Cricetulus griseus: one gene and its partners. The protein of the gene in region 5 interacts with the protein of the main gene of each other region in a pairwise test. Links are inferred from orthologs where the notes say so. Each region holds a gene or a part of one and is shown on either strand. Other genes may lie near its edges.

Region 1 (4,680 bases), on a different chromosome or scaffold from region 5:
GGGCAGCCACGGAGGAGTAAAGGTCCTTGGCTGTACCCGAGATGGCTCAGTGACCCTTGGGAATTGGGGCTCCTCTCCCATTTCCAGCTGTCCGGGGACACCCTTGAATGGAAGATGACAATCTCTACTGCCCAGATGGTGACATTTCTAGAAGCTGGATGTGTGCAAGAGACCACACCCCTGCATGCATATTTACAGTGGCACCCTGCCAGGGCTTGTCACTCTGGCACTTGATATCTGGTTAACTGTCAGGGCAGGGCAGGCCAGCCCAGCATGTGGGCTGCTGGATGAGAGGAAGAACCTGGCAGCCAAGGGCCACTGTATAACATCCTGCAGTCCTGGAAACACAGGCAAGAAGCTGCCTGCCACTGCAGACATCTTGAGGTTGTAGTGGCTGTCTCAGCTCCTCTCTGATCGCAACAGCAAACGATGTAGGAAGGTGCCAGCAGCAGTGACCATGACCACAAAATCTGAGCTCAACCCTTATAGGACTTCCAAGGCTATACAATGGTTTCCTGGCAACCAGGGCAGAGATGAATGAAAAGGCTCAGTCTAAAGGTGGACTCAGGCCTGAGAACACCTGAAGGGTGTAGAGCGGAGCAGAGGCTAAGCACCCAAGTTTCACCAATTAAGGTCCTGCTGTTTCTACTCTAACACTCCACAGCCCCTTGATGCCTTGGGGCACAATTCAGATCTCATCATGCCTTCTCTTCAAGGCATTCATTCATTCAACACACACTGAATGCCTGCTTCATAGCAGATGTGTGTTGCATAGCTTCCCTTTGCCCTTAGTTAAGACCCAGTCATCTCTCCAGCTCATCACCAGGGCCTTGACATTTATTGGGGGAAGGGGTACCTATGGAGGTCAGAGGGCAACTTGTGGAAGGTGGCGCTTTCTTCTAACAATGTGGGTCCTGGGGATCAAACTCGGGGCCTACGGCTCAGCAAGGGTCTTTACCTGCTGAACCATCTCACTGCCTCCCTGCATTTCTTTTTAATGTGTTTTTTTTCCTAGACAGAGTTTCTCTGTAGCTCTGGACTCTGTCCTGAAACTGTGTATGCCAGACTGGCCTTGAACTCAGAGATCCACCTGCCTCTGCCTCCCAGGTGCTGGGATTAAAGGTGTGCACCGCTGCTGCCCTGCCTTTTAATTAGATCTTTTTAACACTACACACTGGCTCCACCATGGGGGAAGGGGGGGGACTGCATCGAGTCCTGCCCCACTTCTCCAGACTCCCCATTTTCTTCACAGCACTTCCTGCTTTTTGGAGTCACTTTATTTACACCCTGAAAGGTCTTCTGTCTGGTTTGAATGAAACTATCTTGCTTGCTGCACACAATAGGACACAATAGGCCCCAGTCATCATCTGTGGGAAGCCCTCACCGTACCTCAAAGCTTGCCCTAAGGTATCTAGCCATGCTAGGTGATCTTGCTTTATTCTGTGGTGCCAGGGATGGAGCCCAGGACCTCCAATATGCTAGATGAACACTCTAGCGCTGAGCCACATTCCAGGCCAAGCCCTGGGATTCCAGCACACATCAGCAGCTGCTGCTGTATCTCCCCTCCTCTGTACTTAGGAAGCACTGGCAGCGTCTCAGGAGTTAGAAGTAGCTGTCAAACCAGATTGTGAGACGGTCTCAAGTAACTACAAGCTGAGCTGAGTGGCAATGCCACCCCAATACTGGCTGCCAGGCAGTGCACTCCTAGGTCTGGCAGGGACACTGCTCTGGGAGATGTCCATACCCCGCCCCAGTCTGGCTTGACTCAGCCTTGGTCTCCAGGAGTGCCCATGGCTGTGCTGGTGAATGAACTGACCCAGCATTGTGCACAGCCTTCTGTCAGAGACCCCAGGTAGTGTGTGGTGGATCACTGCAGGCAGAACCTCTCTGCTTCGAGTCCCTAAGACACACAAGGAAGGCTTCTTGGAATACGGCAAGAGCAATAATCCTGGAAAGATGACTCCCCTGGAACTTCCCTTCAACCCTCCCTAACCCTGTTGCTGTTGGTGCCTCACACAGCTCCAAGACGCCAGTACCCAGGCCGGCGGCCCATCCTTGCCCCTTGCCCACCCCCATCACCAGGCTCCAGAAGATGCAGCTCTTCATCAACAGGGGGCACCTAGTCTCTCCAAAGTCCTTCCCTGGAAGAGCTAGACACCCCGGGGGGTCCCCTTCACCAATGCCTACCCCATCTCTAGACCGCCAGAGCCCCATGCTGCGACAACCAAGTGCAAGTTGTCTGTCCCGAGACAGACCCTTCGGCTTCCCCCTCAGGCCTATCTCAGGTGGTGGCACAGCAGGCTTCTCTTAGCCCACAAGAGACTGGCAGAGCTTCTCCCCTAAAAGCACCCCCCCTTGCTAGGCCTTCCGTGTCACCCAAGGGTTCTCATTTCAGTGTTCTTCTCTCCCACCCATCCAGATAAGGGGGAGTTTGAGTTGAACCCATATATTTTTCCCAATTATTCGAAGTGACCGGCTCCAACTAAACAGGCACTTCCTTCATCCGCCTGGTGCAGGAAGAGGAGGATTTTCTTCTCCAAAAGAAACATCTTGGGGACTGCACCCCGTCCCAGTCTCCCCACCGATGACACGCCCCACCTGACCTCCGGCGGGGCTCCCGAGGCACCTGCTCGTGCCCACCCCACATCGCGCACGGTTCCCAGCGCGCCCTCCGAGACCTATCTGGGCAAACCGTGGTCCCCACAGCCCAGGCCTGCTCCCGCTGCGGACGCCCGGGCTCTCCCTGTGCAGATGCCCCGATTTCCCCGGGAAGCGACCACCAGGAGACTCCCCCTCTCGCAGCCCCGACCCCAAATTCGCGCGGGGCCCTGGGGTGGCCTCGCCTGCGGCCCGCGAGGCTCCCTGGGGTTGCGCCCGCGTCCCCCACCAGGCATCCCCGGATCCCGTCACTCAGGCCGGCTCAGCGGGGCCTGGCCCGGGCGTTCCCGGGCTCGCTCGGCCCCTCGGCCGGCCTCCCCCACCCCCACCCCCGGAGGCGCCCGCGGAACCTCCGGCTTGGCCGCACCGCCCACGGCCCCGCTGCCCCCGCCCGGGCTTCCGGCCGCCGCCTGCTCGTCCCGGCCCGGCCGCGCCGCCAAGAGCAGCCGCAAGGAGATCGCGGAGCCCCGGCCCGGCCACCGTGGCCTCCGCCAGCCCCGGGCCCAGCCCAGCCAGCCCCGCGCCCCGTCCGCCAGCACGCCCGGCGCCTCCGCTCACCCGAGCCTGTGGTGGCTGCCATCTTGCGTCGCTGTCGCTCGAAGGCCGGCCCCTTCTTCACCCCCCCCTTGAGCTTCCCCGGGCGCTGGTGCGCAGGCGCAGGCGTAGGCGCAGACGCAGACGGTGCCGCTGACGCCCGCTCGGGGTCGCACGAGCCGGGCGGGAAGGGCTTTGCCTGGGTCTAGGGTGAGCGAGCACGAGGGCGGGACTTGCAGGTTGCCCCGCCCAGCCCGGCGCCCGGTGCCAGGGCCCCGGTGGTCACGCTGAGCTGGGAGAGCAAACGGGGGAGGAAGGGCTGCGGAACCCCATGCCTTTCTTGGGCGGTTTCCCCTCTGGCTGCCTCCAGCTCATTATTAATGTGGAAATGAAGCTGAGAGGTGTTCGATTCAGATGCTGAGTCAGATATTTTTGTTATGGGTATCTGAAGAGGTCAAACTGTGGCCACTACAATCTTGTTTCCTGCTTTGCTGCTACCTGAAGGGACCCGGCGCTGCCAGGGGATTGAGAACCTTCCTGAGCATGCATTCAGCCTTTTGTTTGCTTGTTTGTTTGCTTTTCGAGACAGGGTTTCTCTGTGTTGCTTTGCAGCCTCATCTGGCACTCCCTCTTTAGACCAGGCTGGCCTCGAACTCACAGAGATCCACCTGCCTCTGCCTCCGGGGTGCTGGAATTAAAGGCGTGCGCCCCCAACGCCCGATCATTTTTTTTTTTTTAAATCGTTTTGTTTGTTTGACCCAGGGTCCCGGGACTCCTGCTGACCTAGCGTTCGCCCTATAGAGGTGGACGACCTTGAATTTCTGATTCTACTACTTCCACCTCTCACAAGCTTGGGTTGCAGGCCTGTGTTACTCCTGGTTTTAGAAGGGTTGCTGGTGGAACCCAGGGCCTTGTGCCTGCTATGCGAGCTCTCTATCAAGGGAGCCACACCCCTACCTTTGCGTCTTTTCACTCTTGATCTAAACATTCATTCATTCAGATATTTATATGTAGGAGGGCGGCTAGGTGCTGGAAATGACAACATCCCCAAAGAGGCAAGAGTCTGTCTCAGGGTTTACATCCTTGCCGGACAGAGAACAAGTGAATATAAATGAACTCTTTACCTGGGATAGGAAAGGGGAACAATTAGGAAAGGCCTCCTTTGGCGATTCCATTTCAACAGTCTTGAATATGCAAAGGTCTTACAGACATACATCCGCATACACTGTAAACCACATCCCGAAGCCACCTTGGAAACCTCTAAGTGGCTGTGGAAAACAAGACTGAGAAAGGTAAAGTAGCCAGCTCCAGGTCGCACTGCTAAGTGCCTACAGAGGGACAGGAAGCTGGGAGCCCTCACCGGAGCGCCCCATTGTCACCTGTTTGGTTTTTACTAAGCATCTACATTGCATTACCTCGCGGAGTATGTGGTAAACTCAGAATTATAATCCGGTGCAGAAGACTTGTACACCAGAATAAAATGAGTCT
Region 2 (4,633 bases), on a different chromosome or scaffold from region 5:
TGGAAGTCAAATTGTGGGACAATGTCACCCTCAAAGGAGCCACAGAAAAGGGCCACTGGAGTACATCAAGGCTCGAGGCTGAAGCATATACTTCACCTCAACAGTGAGAAGAAAAGCTGGCTGCTTCAGCAACCCTTCATCCCTTCTATCTAGAAGTAGGCTATAGCTGTAAACACATGAAATGTGCTAGCGATGTTTAAGTGTGCATGTGTGTACATGCCAGTGATGACATCATTGGCTAGATTATCTAGATGTGAAAAGGGTTACCAAGCTTTATCCTGTCTCACATTTCCAAAGGGAAGAGAAGAAAGACAGAGAAAAGAGCAAAAAAGAAGAAATCATAAACTTAAGGAATATATTTATGTAAAGGGAAGTATTAGAAAATGTAAACAAATGATACAAAATAAGTCAAAAAATGCAAACACCAAATATATCACTTCATTGATCTGAAAAAATAAGCTATTTGTAGCAAAGAGATTATGTTGTTTTCACTTGAACATTCAGTGTATGTTCTCAAGGCTGAGGCATCCTAATTGATTTTTGTTTTCATGAGTTGTCTTATAGTATCTAGGAAGGAACGGGTTGTTAAGATCAAGGCCAGTGAACACATATAACCGAGTCATTTTCCTTGAGTGCTGGGTAAGAGATAGTCCCTATATAAGACTTCATTCTAAGATAAAATATTTCAGTGAGGACCCAGGAGTCCCCAACACATGAGACCGTGTGCATGGATAAAAACAGGATGAGAAATGTTTCACAAAAGATAGGAGGATTTTAATTATTTTTGTATGTAAACTGGCGATGAAGAGGACAGTGGTTTCTGACACATACCTTTTTCCTACACACAAAATTTAATTCTTCTAATGAAGGTATTGTTATTCATAAATGAAGCATGATTCAGTCATCTATTTGATGAATATGCTTTGAAAGTATGAACTAGCTCTCTGCTTATCAAATACATGGATATGTAATATTAGCCATAGATTAGTAGCAGAAAAAAGTATAGTGGTTCCACACGGGCAGAAGATGTGTAGTCTGTACTGATATGTGGCCTGTGGAGATGAAAGGGACTGTCTCCTCTGTAAATCAGCCAGTTTTCTGACCTTGACTTTGAATCATGGCGTTAAAAGGTCAGAAGAGATGACCCCAAGGCACAGGTCTCTGATAGTGAATTTTAGGAAAGGGTAGTGGTGGCAGCTAAAAACCTTGATTGTAAATAGGACAAGCAAAAATAAATGTCTGCCCGTTTTTTATACTTCAGAATTTTAGTAAACCTCAGTAAGGGACATACTTCTGTCACTCTCACCTTTCTGACCCCATGCCTCACTCAGTCGTGGGGAGAACACATTGAGACCTCATTTCAAAGACCGTCCCCCATCTACCTTCCTGGGGAATCGTGCTGTTGATTTAGTCACCTCTAAATATTTGTTATGGCTGCCAGCACTTCCTGTGAGGCTCCTCTCCAAAGCAGGTGCATTCCACAGTGGGAAAGATTGGTGCCACATGATGCACCCTTCCTTTTCACAGAAGAATAGATTCTTGTTCAAAGCCACTGTCCTCCTTCCTAAATTCTTCAATGAGCAAACCAGTTTAATGATGAAGCAGAAATACAGATTAGTTAAAACACATAAGCCCCAGAAACAGAGTAAGCACTGCGCACTCATAACATTCTACGTCTTAAATAACATAATCCAGTTGATTCATAAATAAAATGAAAGGCACAAATATAGGATAAAAAACCAGTTGCTCTAGTAATTTGTTTGATTCAATCCAGCTGAGGTTTAGCAACTGAAGAAATGTTTACTGGAATGTTTCTGTGACAAATAACTGATGTAAAATGCACCGGCACTTGACACACACTCACAACTGAGGCAAGGAAATGGTACATGCTGATGAATCACATATATTATCAATACCTTCCTAAGAGATGGTTCCTGGTATGATTGACTAAATGGGAAACAAAATAAAACAAATACATGTATAAACCAATTTATTCACAAGATGTTTTTAAGGAGCTATTCTCAAAAAAAGACTAGCAGCAGTAAATATGAGGAGGAAAAAAATTGGCAACCGAGCTGATAACAAATTACCCGAATGTTCAAAACAGAACCCCTGACATTTTATGAAGACATATATTTCTGTAGCACAAATTAGAGTGGGACATCTTGGAGGAAAGGGGCTCCTTTCAACTCTTGGAAAAGAAGTTTTGTTAACACACACATGTAACCAATCTTATTCTTAAAGTGAATTCATTGAAAGGCAGGCAAAAGGATTACCCCCGGTGAAAACTTCATAGGACAGGCCAAAGTGAGTCGGGTCATGGATTCCCACCAGCAGACAAAACCCCTCTAATATTGCCAACTCACTGCCACAGACCCCGCCCCGTGATACAGCTGGCCTGCTTCCCCACAGGACAGTGTTAGGTGGTTTCCAAAGCCCCGGAGTATTGTACTCGGCAGAAGCCTTTCTAGTAAGAGGGAGGAGGAGACCCATTGAGGCCCAGAGCAGACACTCAGAGCAAGAACTGAATCCAAAAATTCACAGATGTGGACTGGGTGGGAATGAAGCCAACAGACATCTGGCAAGACCACTGTCAGGGAGTGGACAGGCCTGGGTTATAGAAACAACCAAAGAAGCAAACAAACCACCCTGTGTTCCGGCCAGTCAAGACAGCATCTACCCATGCTCACCCAATGCTGGGGAGTTTCAAAGAAGATTGGGTAGGGGGGCTGTCAAGCTCCAGATATCCCAATGTACTGATTCTTGTGGATGGATAGATAACACAAACTTAACAAAGATCTCTCTCTCTCTCTCTCTCTCTCTCTCTCACACACACACACACACACACACACACACACACACACTACATGCACACTTTGTGTCAATCATTAAAACAGCTGAATTAAAACTACAAACATCAGGATGTCTTCACAGAGCCCCAAACTCTCTCAACATCCTAGAAATCTCCCCTCACCCCACCTCTGGGACTTCTGACATGAGAAAAGATGCTCACAAGAAAAAGCCAGTTTTTTATTTTCAAATTCCCGGTCCCTGAGGCTGGAAATCGGTGTTCACAAAGTATTCAGACAGGTGAATTAAAATAGCATCGTGGCTTAACGGAAAACCAGAAGCTCCCACCAAACCTCGTCCCAATGATCGAGACCCCCCACCCTCCACCCCCCAACGCGCAGCCCACTGAACCGGTACCCAGTCTGGTCAAGCTGAGAAGAAGCTGCCGCTGAGAAAGAGCCGCGCGTCTTACCTGCTGTAAGTACATAAAAGTCAAGGCACACGAGAGCTGGGGACACATGCCCACGTTGGGGAGTGCCACGCAGGTGGCCCCCGTCAGAGGATGCTGCATCGCGATTCTCGGGTGCCCGCAGAGCGAGAGCGGAGATGCTCACATACAATCTACAATCGCGTTGCTTTTTTTTTTTTTTAACCCTCTTGCCTAGTCGCTACAGTTTTTTTTTTTTTCTTTTTAATTTTTGCTGATTATCTAACTCACGCAGCAGTGGCTGTCCCTCTTCCTCTCTCTTCCTCTTTCGTCTCTCTCTTTCTCCCTCCCCCCACCGCACCCCAAGAGAGTCCCTCCTCCCTGGCTCTCCTCGCCCTCGGGTTTGCTAGTACCCAGCGTTCATCAGCCTTCAACTAAAGACACTTGGAGAGGCTGGGAAGTAGTGTTGGCTCCCCTTGGCTTATTGGGCCTGTTGTTGGAGCGCTCTTAAAGTGGAAGGTGCCCCTCATCCCACCCACCTCCGCCACCCCCTAAAGGTGACAAAAATGGGCAAAGTCGACTTCTATGAAAGACAGGGGTTAGGATGCCCTGATAGAGATGCTAGAGAGGGAAGACAGGGATATGTAGTAGGGAAGGGGGAGGAGAAGGAAGGAAGGGAGAGGAGAAGAGGGGGGAGGGGTTGGGGAGAGAGAGAGAGAGAGAGAGAGAGAGAGAGAGAGAGAGAGAGAGAGAGAGAGAGAGAGAGAGAGAGAGAGAGAGAGAGGTTTTGACTCACAGCTTCACTGTAGCTCACTCGCTTGGTGCTGATGCTGGGAGTCTTCTCATTTGTCAAAGAGGTCCAGGGGCAGGGTTGTGGGTTTCTTTCTTTTTTTAAAAAAGGACTCGCCAAAATTTAAATTTTGCCTGCTAAAATCCTCCGATGGGAGGGAGAGGGCGAGCGAACGTATGAGCGCCCCACATCTCCAGCAATCAAAGGAGCTGGACCATTAACAAGACTGCTCAGCTGGGACACTAAGGAGCCCGGGAGATTTTCAGCTGGCGGTTTGTTTGCCTGACTCGTTGGCAAATAAACACAAGAAAGGGATTTCCCCTTTTGTAAGAAGCTTGGGGGTGATGGACACGCCAGGGGTTGGGGTGCTGTCTGTGCAGGGGTGGGGGCTCGAGGAGGTCTCTGCCCCCCCCCCCCCGCCCCCCGCTGCTCTAGGGGCACTGCTTTCTCCCTGGAATCAGCCTACCCGGGGCAAGCAGCCCCGAGCGGTGCGGCTTAACTGGAGAATCCACGCAGCTGTTACACTAAAATGCCAGCTCGAGGTGAATGCAAGGGGCCTTCTCCCAGCCTAGAACCCGTTGCTCTTCTCAAATTATAAATACACGGGGTAGACAAAAGTCCCTGTC
Region 3 (4,778 bases), on a different chromosome or scaffold from region 5:
ACCCAAGAGTCATTGTTCTGCTACCTAATAGCAGACTCATTTCCACAAACCATCCACCTCTGTGGGGACAGCTCTAACTTTCCAAGTGGCCAAGTTACCTTCCTAACTGGATTGGTTGTGTAAGCCTGGAGACCTGAGTTCAATCTCTGGAACCCATGGAAAAGGAGAAGAGGAACAGGTTTCCCAGAGTCTCCTCTGACGGCTACATGTACACGGCGGCACCTGCAACTGTGCTAATAATGATGATGATGATGAAGCTAATACAATCAGCCTCAGATATGTAACTTTTGTTGTGTAATTGTTGTGTGAAACAGCAGGGGGCGTCCAGTTGTCCCTCTAATAGGCATGCAGCCATGGGAACCACTGCACTGTACCAGCCTGGTTGTATCAGGAGCACAGTGCGGGATACCTTCATACTATGGCCTTTAGCTAGCAGAGAGGAAGACAGGGTTGGCCCTGAGCCGCTGGCGCCCGTGAAGGCATCCGCCAGCTACAGCTCCATCTCAGGATCCTGGGCACACCTGGCGACACTGTCCTCAGCAAAGCACAGTTCTGACTAGTCTCTCTCAGGTACCAGTGCTCTGTCATCGCAAGGTCACCTGCTCCAGGTCAGGCCAGCTCTCCAGGCTTCCACTCTGGGTCCCCACTCCCTGCTCCATGCAGGGTGGTCTACTCACGGCTTGCTCAAATTTCCTGACCCCATGAAATATCTAAACTTGTGAAGCAGGCCATCTGCAAATTAGTAAGTTACCATTGTCCGTCTAAGAGGAAGAAACCCAGACAAGGAGATCCAGGGAGAGGAAAACAGAGACCTTGCTGCAGACAAGGAGGACACCAAAGGCTTTGGCAGCCATCAGAAGCTGAGGAGGTAGGAAGCAGCCTCCTTCAGGACTGCAGGAAGGACAGATGGACGGATGGACGGAAGGCAGCCACTCCTTCACAGCTAGACAGGGTGAGTGAATGAAGACTGCTATCTAGGGAAATTGTGGGGCACTAACATTGGCTTAGGCAGAATGAAGCTTAGGTAGCTTCAGGCTATGACACATTCTACTGTATGTGGGGTACACTAGCTGCAACCAAGTCCCATGCGAAACTAGGGACCAGCAGTGACTATCTCAGTCACATGCTAACTCACATGCCACAGACAATACCTCAAAGTCCTACAGTGGCCTTGTGACTGATGAGAGAAGATTAGGAGGGGACATTTGTGTGGGACTTTGAAGGTTGAGCAGGACTTGTCACTCTGAGAACACACTGTTCCTTCCTTTGCTTTCACCCTCCCCCAGAGCTCTCAGGCACCCTGGCCTTCCCCAGTGATCTTAGCATGGGCAGGTTAGCACACAATGACTGTGCACGGAGTATGCATGCACACTCGGGGTGGAGTTTAGGGTTTGGGGAATACTAGGCCAGAGGTCTGCCCTTGGCTTGATACAGGGTCTTGCTTTACAGCTTGGGCTACCCTTGAACTTGCCATGTAGCTTCAGGCTGTCCTTAAACTTTCCAGTCTTCGCTCTGGAATGTGATCCCAGGGGTACATCACCAAACTAGGTCAAAGTACATGTGTGAAGTATAAGACACACTCCCCTCAAGCCTACTTAAGACTCTACACTAAAGGACCCACAGAGGCAGTAAGTGGACTGCTGGATCTACCAGGTCAAGTACCTTAACAGGATGAATTGAAGACGTACAGGCTGTTTCTGCCCCAGACTGAGGCCAGCAAATTTCCCCTCTTGGTGATCTGATGTTTGGGGTGGATCTCCAACACACTTTAGCCTGGAGAAACTGAGGCTCTTCGATGAGCAGGTGTGACTACAAAATTCTGGACAAGCAACGAAGCCAAAGGTGGCTCTGAGAACGGTGACTGTGAAGCTCCAGCAGCCAGAGGGCTAGGGCACTGTCGGGCCTTCCAATGTGTGTACTGTGCTTCACCCTCCATCAAACAAGGCTCCCAACCCATGGCCGCAGGGACAGCAGCCCCTGGAGCGATCATGGACGAGCTGCTGCTGCGACTCCCTCTACCACTGAGCCTCTGCAGCCTCAGTTTCCTTCCCCAAGTCACCTCAAAAAAGTTAAATGTGACAAGAGCTATCAAGCCTAGAAACACCATCGCATCCCACAGCTCTCAAAAGGTTAATACAAAAACCACACTGGAAAATCCGAATTTCTGCTCTGCTCCAATAATCTCTCCTGCCCAAAGCTCACCAAAGCTTGCTGATTTCGACAATCATTATATTCCAAAGAGGCGGAATACAGCAAGGGTGAGCTGGGAAACAGGTGACAAGCTGAGTAAATACCCACAAGCCCCTCAGGTTATGAGGGCCTAAAATGCCAAGGCCCTTGGGGACCTAACCGGCTCAAGGGAATTCGGAAATTCTGTAGAAGGAACCCGAACTGAGAAAAGCCAGAGCGTAGGAAAGATGTTCAGACCGAAAGACAACCAGTAAAATGCTAAAGTGTTCATGTCAAAACTTAAAGCTTTTGTTAAATATGTCCCCAAACCCATGCAAACGCCTTCTTTGGAAAACAGTAGCCCGAATAAAGGATGGGACCGAGACTGCAGGACGAAATCTCCGAAGTCTGGGTGCAGGCAGCGGGGCCCGCCGATGCCCAGTGACCCGCGCGGGGGCGGGGCTGCGCTGGCCTCAGGTCCACCCGCCTGCAGCGAGCTCGGGAGCCCGCTGCGGGCCGTGGGGAAGGCACGCACACTTTGGATGCGTCCCTTTGTGCCGGGGACCGCAATACCTACGACACCGGTCAGCTCGCCGCAGCGGCGCGCCACCAGGCAGCCCGCGCCCCCTTCTCCATTCGCCAAGCTGCGCGCAGAGGCGCGCGACCGACGCCACCAGGGCTGTCAGCGGAGCGCGACCAGCCCCCGCCCCGGCTGGAGGGGCCGCGGGCCCCGGCGTCCCGCACTGCTGCGTCGGCTGACAGGGGCGCTCTCAGAGGACACCGCGCGACGCGCTCCGGGGTGGCCACCCCCTGCGGCCGCCGGGCCCCCGCTGCCGGCGCCTCCGGCAAAGTTGGCGCAGGCTCTCCTGGGGGCGCGCGGGGCCGCCGTCAGGGCTCCTGCGGCCCGGCTGTGCCCTGGCTTTGTTCGCGCCCCGCGCGCACCCTCGCTCCGCACCCCCGCGGCCCTGCCCACCTTCTGGATGGTCTGCTGTGTGACCTCCCCTTTGCCTCTCGGCCGCGCCGACGCGAAGGCCACGGACATGGTGGCGGCGCGGACTCAGCCCGTGATCATTCGGGTTTATTCTCCGGCTGCGCCCCGCGGCCCGAGGTGCCCATTCTCCGCAGCGCGGGGGCGGGGGCGCGGGGGATGCCGTGCCGTGGGCTCGCCCGCCCGCCTGCCGCCGACGCGCGCCCGGGCCTCCCGCGTCCCTGCGCCTTAAGCCACCGCCTTCCGGGACTGGACCCCGCGCCGAGTCCGCCGCTGTGCCGCCTGCGCTCTGCGTCCAGCCGGCCGCCGCCGCGCCGCCCCTGTGCCGGGCTTCGGTGGTTGCGCCCGCCCCGCCGCGCCCCGCCCCTGCCCGCTCCGCCCGCGCGCCCCGCCCCGCCGCGCCGCACGTCCCCCTGACGCCAGACGCCGCGGACGCCAGCAGCGTGGCCCGAGACGGCCGGCGGGCGGGCGCAAGCGGTGAGTGTGCGCTTTTGAGCGGCGGCGGCGGCGGCCCTAGCTCGCGCGTCCGCCGGGATGAGCTACGACCGCGCCATCACCGTCTTCTCGCCCGACGGCCACCTCTTCCAAGTGGAGTACGCGCAGGAGGCGGTCAAGAAGGGCTCCACTGCGGTGAGCCGGCCCGAGCGGGGCCTGCGCGGCAGGGCGCACGGGGAAGCAGGGCTCGCAGACCCGGGAGCGGGGCCCCCGCGTTCTGCTTGCGGCGGGTGGCCCGGGAGGTGACGGGAGCCGAAGGGTGGCGACCTAGGAAGGAAGCCGGGCCGCGGGGACTGCGCCATGCTCCCTGGAGAGCCGGCTTGCCCGCTGCAGAGCGTCACGGGGAGCGCATCGCGCGCCCGGCCGGGGCCATCTTGGTGCTGTTGGCGCGGCGCGGCGCGGACGACGGAGGCCGCAGGTGCGCGCGGGAGGTGGGGGGCTGAGAGTCGGCGCCGGCGGGGACTTGGGGACCTCCCGGCTAGGCCAGACGGGCGTTGGTGAACAAAGGGCGGCCCTGCGACGGGGACCGACTGCTTCCGGGTTCGCCTGCTCCACCGACGCTGTATTCTGGTTCCGGTGGGCCTCTCGCCGCGTCCCGGGATTTGCTCGGGGACCTTAGCGCCATTTGGAAATGGGACCGCCCGACACCTGCAAGCGTCAGCAGTGAGAGAGTTCTGCGTTTTTCTTTTTCCTGAGTCACTGGGTCTTTGGGAAAGACACGTGGTTCTGAGACTCGAAGCGCTTGCATTTCCCGAGTATTTAATCGCTTTGAAAGTAAAGTCCCAAATCTTTTGGTGACTTAACCCACCCCCAAAAAACTAGAGTGAGCAGGCTTGGAGGCCCAGGCCTGTAATCCCGGCATTGGGAAGGTTGAGACCCGAAAATCTCAAATTCAAAGCCAGCCTGGGCTTCTAGAAGAGAATCTCTATGTATGTATGTATGTATGTATGTATGTATGTATGTATGTATGTATGTATGAGTTATTGACTCCTCTTTATGTGCATTGGCGTTTGTGCCTACATGTATGTCTGTGTGAGGGTGTCACATCCCTTGGAACTGGATAGATACTGGAACTGCCTTGTTGGTGCTGGCAATTGAACCCGGGTCCTCTTAAACCTGAGCCCTC
Region 4 (4,775 bases), on a different chromosome or scaffold from region 5:
CTCCTACCATGTTGTGACACAGTAAGAAGATGTGGGGGCCCTCCCAGAGGCCAGCGCCTTGATGATGGCCTAACCAGACACTTGCAGAAGCAGAAGCCAATAAATGTCTGGTCATTATAAATCACCCAATCTATGACGTTGTGGCAGTGTGAAACCTCTTCAATCCATCCACTGGCTTGTTTGCTCAATCTTTGCCAACCTCCCATCTGGCCCTAGTACAACAAGGGGCTCCAGCCACAGTGGCTGCCCTGCCCTCCAACAGGACACACACTTCTACCTCAGTGTCTTTGTACCTCTCTTTCTTCTGCCCCCAGTGTTGTTCTGCCTCTTTACATGACTAGAGAGATGCCACCTCCACCCAAATGCCAATTCCACAAAAGTAGGGACTCATCATCTGTCACCGCTGGATCTCCACTTACTGGAATGTTGGAATGTATTCTAAAAACATATCCCGAGTGTGACAAGCTGGACTGTTGAAGCCCTAGCTCCAGGCCTCAGAATGCCATTTTACTTTGGAATCTGGTCGTCACTGATATAATTAGTTAAGATGAGGTCACAATGGAGCAGGGTGGGTCACCAGCCCCATGACCAATTTCCTTATTAAAAGAGGAGTGCAAACGCATGCATGGGGGAGAGCCATCTGCAGATGAGTACCAGTGTCACAAGTCAAGCCACTACTGGAAGTTTGGGGAAACCAGGGACAGAACATTCCCAAACACCTTCAGAGGTTGTGTGCCTTTGCCTGCACCTTCAGCGGTGACTTCAGCCTCCAGACTCACCAGCAAACAAGACCCGCGCCTATGGCTCTATCCTGCTGGAGAGCTTTGCTGCAGTAACCTGGTGGGCACACTGAATGAGCAAGCCTTCCTCTCACTCCAGCTGGCCACCCACGACCCAGCGTCAGAGAGCCAGAAACCATTTCATATTCATCAGAAATGTTACAGTTCCCTAATGTGCAGACAACCCAAACTCCACCACCCAGCATGCAAAGCTCTGTACAGAACACTCAGATCCCATCCAATCTTCCAGACTCACCACCCCAGGCTCCTCTAGCATCCCTGAATCTCAATCAGCTGCTTACTCTTCCCAGAATGCCCACTTTTGACTGTGCCCCACGGCCTGTAAGCCTATCGTCCTGCTACCTGGAATGTACTATTTTCCCAATCCTTCCGCAATACTTCTTTACAGCCTCCAGCACCTGGTTTCCCCCACCAGTGGAATGTGCCATGCTCCCAAGGTCTCTGTTAGACTCAGGCCATGTCAGTAATTCATTGGCTGAGACCTGGCTCACAGGCATGAACTCCAGGAGAGGGCAGGCATCATGTGGTTCTCACCACTGCCCGAACCGAGGCTGAGGATGCCAGTGGTGGCTTGTGGAACACACGATAGAAGAAAGCAGACAGGAACTCATGGTTACGCTTATGCTCAACACTCACTCTTACGACCCACCAAGAGCAAAAGCACCTGTATTGAGGGTGACATGTCACTTGATATTTGCAGCCCTGACTACCGAGGACTTCATGTCTTCAGTCTGGGACCCACCTTCAAGCTCAGCCCTGTGACTTTGACATGGAAATAGAGGAAGATGCTGTCATTCCAAAGACAGTCTCTTCTATCCAGCTCCATACCAGGCAGCCTCAACTAACATTTAAAAACATTAATACAAATCAACCATGGATCCCAAGGATGTAGCAAGATGTAGCATTACACAAAAAAGGTGTGTAATGAAAAATGCCGTGTAAACAGTCACTAGTTCTGCCCTCAGGAGTCCCAGACAAATGTCCTTCCTATTACCTCTCTCTCCAAGGCACCTAAACTCCCCAGAGGGGAGTTGCTGGGTCCCAGCTACTGGTCTCCTGGGTTCAGGGCAGATCCAGTTACACAGTAAGGGACAGAAGTTGAAGTCCCAGCCCCTACCAGCCTGCAGCTTCTGCGTGGCTAAAACTGTCATTTTAATAGCTCTATTCCCTGGCAGGTGATGCGGAAATGCCCGGGCCACTTTCCAGGAGCAGCAGAGCAGGTGAACGCTTGGGTACCAAGAACAAGCAGGAAACTAGAACTTCTAGTTCTCTCTCCCCCCCCATCCTCCATCCTGTTTCTGGGCACACCCCAGCAGGAGGAGGGCTTGGAAGATGCCTGGCTTCCCATCCACACTCAGCACAGGTTTGACTCAGACACTAGCCCTGCAGCAACCCAAAGTAGTGACCCAAATGTGGGATGAAGGGCAAGCACAAAGAACCATGTACCCACACGACCCATCTTCTGGATTCCCTAGGTCCTAGTTGAATACCACCTCCCTCCCCAGGCACACACACACACACACACACACACACACACACACACACACACACACACGCGCGCGCACACGCACACGCACACGCACCAAAACAAACAAAATAAATAGGGTCCTCATAGCAGCCATTGGGACAGCCCAGACTGGAAGTGAGGGACTGGGGGTGTAGTTCCTAAGTCAAGCCTTATCTAACATGTATGAAGCCCTGGATTCAAAACCCAGCATCACCAAACAAAACAAAAAGAGCAGGTGAGACTTTGAGCCCAGAGCTGTGTGAGCCCAAGCTAACCAGTAGTACTAATAATAGACTCCTTAGAGCCCTTTGCTGGAAGTTGAAAAGTACAGGGCAGCCACCATCCTCGATCCCCTGTTGGAGGCCTGATCCCATGGCAACCTGTGGGCTGATGCAACACACAACACTGGACCAGAGGCTTGGGTTCAAGTCCAAGCTGTCGCATCATCACAATCCCTACCAGCTTTCTCTCTGTCTGGCCTCATTTTCCCCACCTGCTCGAGCCCAGGGTTCGACCGGGTTTGACCAGCCCAGACTCTCCTGGGCCTACTCTGCTCAGATGGGAGGTTCTTCTATATCATTTTTGCCTGGACTCCTAACTCATTCCTCACTCCTTGGGGCCGGCCTCTTCCTGTGGTCCTGACTCCACAGACCTGTTGCCATCAGGAGACTGAGCTTAAGTCCAAGTGGCCCTAAGACTTGCCCGGGTGGCCAGATAGCTTGTCCCTGGGGATGACTGGCTGGGGCAGAGTAGCTAAGTGAGCGATGGGTGGGCTGCAAGCTGTCCACAGGAGTGCTACTTAACAAAGAGTGGAGACCGTAACCCCGGAGGTGCCCCATCCTGCCCCGGCCAGGCACATGCCTCGGGACTTCGAGGAGGCGCCTGGGGGGCTACCTGGAGTGGACACGAGGCAGCAGGGCTCGGTCCGGGCTGGATCTCCCCGTTGCAGGTTCCCAAAGGGACAGCGAGGCACACCCCGGGGCTCAGCATCCGGAGGATAGAAAGGGCTGAGCCTCGCGCCCGACCGCGCGCACGCACATGAGCCCTGGAGGCGCCCCCTCCCGTCCCGCGACCACTGACCATAGTGACCGGAGCCGTCGGGCCACGTCCCGCCCCAGCGAGGAGGGAGCGGGTGCCACGGGAGGCGCTGGGCGGCTCCGCCGTTGGGTCGGGCGGCGCGGGCCTCGCGGGTGTGGGGCGAGCGCAGAATACACCCTACCGCCCCTCAGACCGGAGCGCAGACCTCCACTGTGTCCCAGCAAGACGCACTTCCCGCGATTGACGTTGGAAGCCGGCAATCAGAAGCCAAGACGCAGGACGTCACAGAAAGTGGGTGGGACTCCACTCGCCTTCAGCCCATGTTTTGGGGCCCGTTTGACAGGAGACCGCCCCCATTTTAAAGACACAGAGTGCTTTTAACAGGCAAAGGAGTTAGCCTAATCAGGGAAGCCGGTTCTGGTTTGTAAAGACAGACTTTGTTGTTTTCTTTCTTTAAAAATTAATTTATTTTTACATTCCAATCCCAGTTCCCCCTCCCTCCTCTCTTCCCGCTCCCCCACTCCCTCCCTCCCATCGGCTCCACGGAGGGGGTAAGGCCTCCCCTAGGAAGTCTACTAAGTTTGTCCCATGTCTAGTTGAGGCAGGACCAAGGCACCTCTCCACCCCCACACCCCTGCAAAGACAGAAAGACTTTTGGCTAAAACTGAAAATTGAAATCTGGAAGATTAAATGGCCCTCGTTAATTAATCAACGAGTTCACCCAAGTATAGTTCTCACAAGATCAGAGGACAGGTGCTTAGGAAGCACGTGTCCCGCCTCATTAAGTTACATTGTCAGCTCCTGTCTAGCTCCTAAATAATACTTTGGCTCTTTCCAAGTCATGAATCAGTGGGTTGACAGTCATCCAGGTAATGTTTGTTGAATGAATGAATGTTGGGGATGGTTGAGCGTGGCTGTGGAGTTGTGGAGCTGTGTAGAAGACACGACTGAACCGGGTCTAGGTGACACACCCTGTGTACAAGCTCGTTACTACTGAACATCAAACAAGAAATATTTAGCATTTGACGATTTGTTTGCCAGCCCTTGACCCCTGGTGGAGCTACTGCAGGTGTTGTGGGGAGAAGGGTGTGCACGGTACCTGACTATTTTAGTAGGCTCTGGCACTCAGGTGTTTCAGGAGAAACTGTGGTGGAAATGTGATAATGTTGGCTGGAAGCTGTTTTGCTCTTTTCCTGGGCTGGTGACAGGTGGTCTCACACCCTCATAATCGTGGACAGCCAAACCGAATGGCAGCTCCCGTCAGCCCCACCAGAGGAAACAGTAAACACATCCCAGTGTTCCATAGCATAAAGCTAAGATGGTTAGTACATTTGGTGTGGTGTATGTATAATGTGTTTTTCATTTTATGGTGTGTGTGTTTGTGTGTGTGTTGAGATGTGTGTGCACCTGTGTTGCATATGTCAGGGCCA
Region 5 (4,858 bases):
CAGGCAACCTGCAGACCAGGGGAGTGAGAGAATCACTGAGCTTGGAGGAAAACAAAAAACTAAAACAAGAAGCAGCAGCAACCATGATGAAGGATGAATGTTGATGGGGCTCTGTTTTTCAGACTGGACATTGAGCTCACATGTGTTCATTATAGTCTTTGCATACATATGCTGTGTGTGCTATCATTTATTAATTTTTCACAGTAAGAAAACAAACAAAAGAAAGGATATGTAAGAGAGAGCCTGCAAGATAGCTCAGCAGGTAAGGGTACCTGCCATCAAGCCTGACAACCTGAGTTCAATCTCCAGGACCCACACAGTAGAAGGAGAAACCAACTACCACCAATTGTCATTTGTCCTCCACACCTATGCTATGACATGTGTATGTGTGCGTGTAAACCCATGTGCGCGAGTGCATACACACACAGGGGAGAAAGGAAGGAAGTGAGGGAGGAAGGAAGGAAGGAAAGAGAGATGGAGGGAAGGGTTTGAGGCCATGGCCTACAACCAACTTTTATATACTGAGCAGAAAGTAGTTTGAAAAGTTAGGGGCAGCCGAGTGGTGCCTATGCCTTTAATACCTTTAGTCCCAGTGCTCAGGAGGCAGAGGCAGGAGAATTTCTGAGTTGGAGGCCAACCTTGTCTACCCCAGGATACCCAGGGGTACACAGAGAAACCCTGTCTTTTGTAGTGGCATCTCGCCTTGCCAGTGAATTTGTAGTAGTGGCCCGACCCTTTAAAAAGCTGTGGATACCATCAAGGTTGATCAAGATCCCATTTGTTTTGTTGTTGTTGTTGTTGTTTGTTTTTTTGAGACAAGATTTCTCTGTGACTTTGGAGGCTGTCCTGGAACTAGCTCCTGTAGAACAGGCTGGTCTTAAACTCACAGAGATCCGCCTGCCTCTGCCTCCTGAGTGCTGGGACTAAAGGCGTGTACCACCACCACTTGGCTTCAAGATCCTGTTTGAACAGGGGAAACCTCTTGACGAGGAGAATGACAGGTCATCCACCAAAGTAAATCCCACGAGTTGTATGGAGACCTCATAAAGATCGGGGGAGTGTTCTGTTCTTGTCTTTACAGGAAAACAGAAAATACCCATCTTCAAGAAGTCAAAAGACATCAGTTGTGTAGATGTCTAAAGAAGAAAGGATAGCTATCCAGAAAGAATCATCTAACAAAGAAGAATCTGACTTATGGAACCAACATCTATACAGGGTAAAATCCCACTTCTGACACCATTGCTCCTCTCCTAAAGGGGTCACATCCACACCTAAAACCATGCCCAAAGGGTGTGGCCACTAGATTGTACCACCAAGCCTGCTTTTATTCTATGTAGGTGACTGAACCCAGGGTTTGGTGCATGGTGCAAGCAATCTACTAACTGAACTTCTTCCCAGCCTCTTTCTTTTCCTCTTTATACTTTTCTGGATTTCCCAAATACCCAATAATGAACATGCATGAGTTTTATATCAGGGAAAAGAAGGAAGAATATTATGTCAGACAGCCTGCCACTTCTCAGTAGGCATTCTCTCTCTCAAGCCTGACCTGGTATAGGTCTCCTCCTCTGGATTTCATTTCATGTATGCCCCTTTGTGGAGGTTTGAATGAGAATGGCCCCTCTAGGTGCCTGTATTTGAATGCTTGGTTCCCAGTTGGTGCAACTGTTTGGAAAGGATTAGGAGTGTGAGCTCATTGGAGGAGTTGTATCACAGGGATGGACTTTGAGGTTTCAAACGCTGAGCATTCCCAGTTCAACTCTCTGTGGCTGCAGATCTAGATGTGAGCAGGCATCATGTCTGCCTGCGCCATGCTCCCCTCCATAATTGCCATGGATGCTAACCCTCTGAAACTGTGAGCCACAAATTAAACACTTTCATCAGGCAGTGGTGACAGTCACCTTTAATCCCAGCACTGGGGATGCAGAGGCAGGTGGATCTCTGTGAGTTTGAGGCCAGCCTGCTCTACAGCATAAGTTCTAAGATAACCAAGGCTACACAGAGAAAACCTGTCTTGAAAAACAAAAACAAACAAATTAAACACTTTCTTTTATAAGTTGCCTTGGTCCCAGTGTTTTACCACAGCTACAGAAAAGTAACCTGACCCATAAAGATAAAGGATCAAGTGTGCCGGGGGCCAGGGGTAGGGAGGAGGCAGAATTTTAAGGAAGACATCCCTACCTAACAAAAATAGGGCAAAAGAGACAAGAAAGGAAATTTCCTAGATATTTTCTTCCAGGTTTCAGAACATCACAATGTCTTGTGATGACAAGATCTGTAGCAGCTATCTTGCAACCTCTGGGTGGATATGGCTCAGGGGGAGAGATAGGAAGGCCCTGAGTGACAAGTTGAGCCCCTGAGTTAATTCAAGGACTCTTCTGATAAATGTGATATAATATTTCTGAGGGTCAGGTGACTTTTCATTGGAAAGACTCAGCTATCATCTCAAACTGCCATAACTAACACAGCACCTCCCCCCTCCCCAGTATCAAAAGGACTGACCCATCTGTAAGGCCTGGAAGACCTTACAGATTCATGTCCCCAGACTTACAGCTTGGCACCTTTGAATTAACCAGGGGAGGCAGCAACTGATACTTTCAGCACTGAATCCCAAGGATGCTTCCTCTTACCGAAGTTCCAAGGTGACCGTCTCAGAATCCTTCCCTCCCCCTGCCCACCCTATTTAAAATTTTTTCTCTAGCATTCATGTCAGCAAAATACTTTTCTTTTCCATTTTAGCATTACTGAAATTGACCATCTATCTTCTCCTGGGACCCTGGCCACAGTGCTGTGGGGTAGCACATTTTCCGGAAGTGCATCATCACTCTACTTCCCTGCTTGGACATTTCTCCCTGTTACAGTCTGTTTTATATTTGCACTTCTGTGATAGGGTTCAGGGTAGATGAGATCTTAAGACAGAAACACTAGAACAGACCTGAACCAGCCTTCACCGCGTCAGCATCTCCCAGTGGCACTTGACTCTGAAGAGGGCCTCCAGGCGGAAGCTAGCCTGGGCCAGGTCTGCCGCCCTACCAGCGCCATCTGCCGACTAAATCCCACTTAATCTATCTCATCTTCTGTCCCAAGAAATAGCTGTATCCTCCTCCACCACCCACGAAAGCAAGTTGTCTTAGGTTGTTTCCTTATTTTGTAATCTGGGAATTGAAGGCAGGGCTTTGCACATGCTAAGAAAGTGTCCTAGCGTTGAGCTGTACTTGCAGACCCACAGTGAGTTTTTCAAAAGATAAATCGCAGGACGCGAAACTTCAGGACTGCAGGAGGTGGGGGAGGTTATGGCTCACATTTGTTACCTCTCCCTACTCAGGGGGTAGAGGTGGGGAATCACAAATTCCATTTTGGTTGGGTTACATAGTGAGTTCAAGACCAGCTTAGGCAACTCAAGTGAGATCCTATCACACAACAAAAGAGAAACAAAACCCACAAACAGCAACAAAGCATCTCTCCAAGGTTTTCTACCCCACATGGTATTTATTTTTCCTGTCTTCCTGTGACTGTCTACAATGATGGGTGTCATCTATGCTACTCAGGATGCCAGGAACCATTCTCCCTGGCTTTCATACTAACTCTTCCCAAGGGCTTGAGCTGGACTTGAGGATATCAACCATGTGAGAATCAAGATCTTCCGAGACACAGTGTTCTAAGAACGCCAAAGCCAATCTAGGAACTTCAGAAGATCCTAATCCCCTCCCCATCTTAACCCATCTCCTCTTTTAAGGAACAGGTTGTTGGTCAGAACCACAGAGGTGCTTCATAGTTAACATCCAGGCTTGTGACTTAATCTCCTGTGCAAGAGCAGCTTTAACTAATAACAGAATGAAGCTGTTATTTGGGTCTTTAACATGGCCCAAGCATTGGAAAGTCCTACTCTGACAGACAGGCACAAGGTTGGATGCAGTAACCAAATATGTCCACAAGGGTGCAGTAGCGCCTCTCACCAGCAGCTGGAGTTGGTCTTCAACCACCAAACAGTACTTGAAGCTATTTTATCCTGTTAGAGCAGAAGGGACAGATGGAGGTCCGTGGGTGAAGGCAGATAACTTGATGTGCTTTTTAATTGCATTCTTAGGCTGGGAATGTAGCTCAGTTGGTGCAATGTGGTTTAAATAAGAATGCCCCCCATAATGTGTTTGAATGCTTGGTCACGGGGGAGTGGCTCTATTAGGAGGTATGGCCCTGTTGGAGGAACTGTGTCACCAGGTCTCAAATGCTCAAGCCAGGCCCAGTGGCTCTCTTCCTCCTGCCTGCTGATCCAGATGTAGAACACTCAGCTACCTCTCCAGCAACAGGCGTGCATGCCGCCATGTTTCTCACCATGATAATGGACCAAACCTCTGAACTGTAAGCTAGAATCAATTAAATGTTTTCCTTTATAAGAGTTGCTGTGGGGCTGGAGAGATGGCTCAGAAATTAGGAGCACTGACTGCTCTTTCAGAGGACCTGGGTTCAATTCCCAGCAACCACATGGTGGCTCACAGCCATCCCTTATGAGATCTGGTGCCCTCTTCTGGTGTGCAGATATACATGGAAGCAGAATGTTGTATACATAATAAATAAATGAATAAATAAACAAATAAATAAATAAATAAATTCTTAAAAAAAAAAAGAGTTGCTGTGGTCAGGCAGGCAGATACGCACACCTTTAATCCCAGCACCCAGGAGGCAGAGGCATGCAGATCTCTGTGGGTTTGAGGTCAGCCAGGGCTGCACAGAGAAACTGTCTCCAAGAAACAAACAAAAAAGGAGTTTCGTGGTCATGGTGTCTCTTCACAGCAATAGAAACCCTAACTAAGACACGAAGCAAGCACAAATGCACTGAGTTTGACACTCAGAGTTGCTTAAA

What was found. The genes of interacting proteins can lie anywhere in the genome.
Region 1: the proteins of Fam168a (region 5) and Ube2v1 interact in binary tests that used the Homo sapiens proteins (3 or more experiments, as listed by UniProt). The two-hybrid records come from large-scale screens. The link is inferred for Cricetulus griseus from reciprocal best matches to the Homo sapiens genes FAM168A and UBE2V1.
Region 2: the proteins of Fam168a (region 5) and Rbfox1 interact in binary tests that used the Homo sapiens proteins (3 or more experiments, as listed by UniProt). The link is inferred for Cricetulus griseus from reciprocal best matches to the Homo sapiens genes FAM168A and RBFOX1.
Region 3: the proteins of Fam168a (region 5) and calcium-responsive transactivator interact in binary tests that used the Homo sapiens proteins (3 or more experiments, as listed by UniProt). The two-hybrid records come from large-scale screens. The link is inferred for Cricetulus griseus from reciprocal best matches to the Homo sapiens genes FAM168A and SS18L1.
Region 4: the proteins of Fam168a (region 5) and Otub2 interact in binary tests that used the Homo sapiens proteins (3 or more experiments, as listed by UniProt). The two-hybrid records come from large-scale screens. The link is inferred for Cricetulus griseus from reciprocal best matches to the Homo sapiens genes FAM168A and OTUB2.

The regions. Positions count from the first base shown.
Region 1 is NC_048599.1:11,779,807-11,784,486, reverse strand, and holds the start of Ube2v1 (ubiquitin-conjugating enzyme E2 variant 1), read right to left. Parts: upstream 3,362-4,680; 5' UTR 3,239-3,361; coding exon 3,217-3,238; intron 1-3,216. UniProt on the Homo sapiens protein: Has no ubiquitin ligase activity on its own. The UBE2V1-UBE2N heterodimer catalyzes the synthesis of non-canonical poly-ubiquitin chains that are linked through Lys-63.
Region 2 is NC_048600.1:39,617,420-39,622,052, forward strand, and holds the start of Rbfox1 (RNA binding protein fox-1 homolog 1), read right to left. Parts: upstream 3,362-4,633; coding exon 3,263-3,361; intron 1-3,262. UniProt on the Homo sapiens protein: RNA-binding protein that regulates alternative splicing events by binding to 5'-UGCAUGU-3' elements. Regulates alternative splicing of tissue-specific exons and of differentially spliced exons during erythropoiesis.
Region 3 is NC_048599.1:1,890,117-1,894,894, forward strand, and holds the start of calcium-responsive transactivator, read right to left. Parts: upstream 3,362-4,778; 5' UTR 3,212-3,361; coding exon 3,143-3,211; intron 1-3,142. Other genes in the region: Psma7 (proteasome subunit alpha type-7), read left to right, coding at 3,692-3,787. UniProt on the Homo sapiens protein: Transcriptional activator which is required for calcium-dependent dendritic growth and branching in cortical neurons. Recruits CREB-binding protein (CREBBP) to nuclear bodies.
Region 4 is NC_048598.1:102,691,987-102,696,761, forward strand, and holds the start of Otub2 (ubiquitin thioesterase OTUB2), read right to left. Parts: upstream 3,362-4,775; 5' UTR 3,298-3,361; coding exon 3,202-3,297; intron 1-3,201. UniProt on the Homo sapiens protein: Hydrolase that can remove conjugated ubiquitin from proteins in vitro and may therefore play an important regulatory role at the level of protein turnover by preventing degradation.
Region 5 is NC_048596.1:98,828,677-98,833,534, forward strand, and holds the start of Fam168a (protein FAM168A), read right to left. Parts: upstream 2,952-4,858; 5' UTR 2,933-2,951; intron 1-2,932.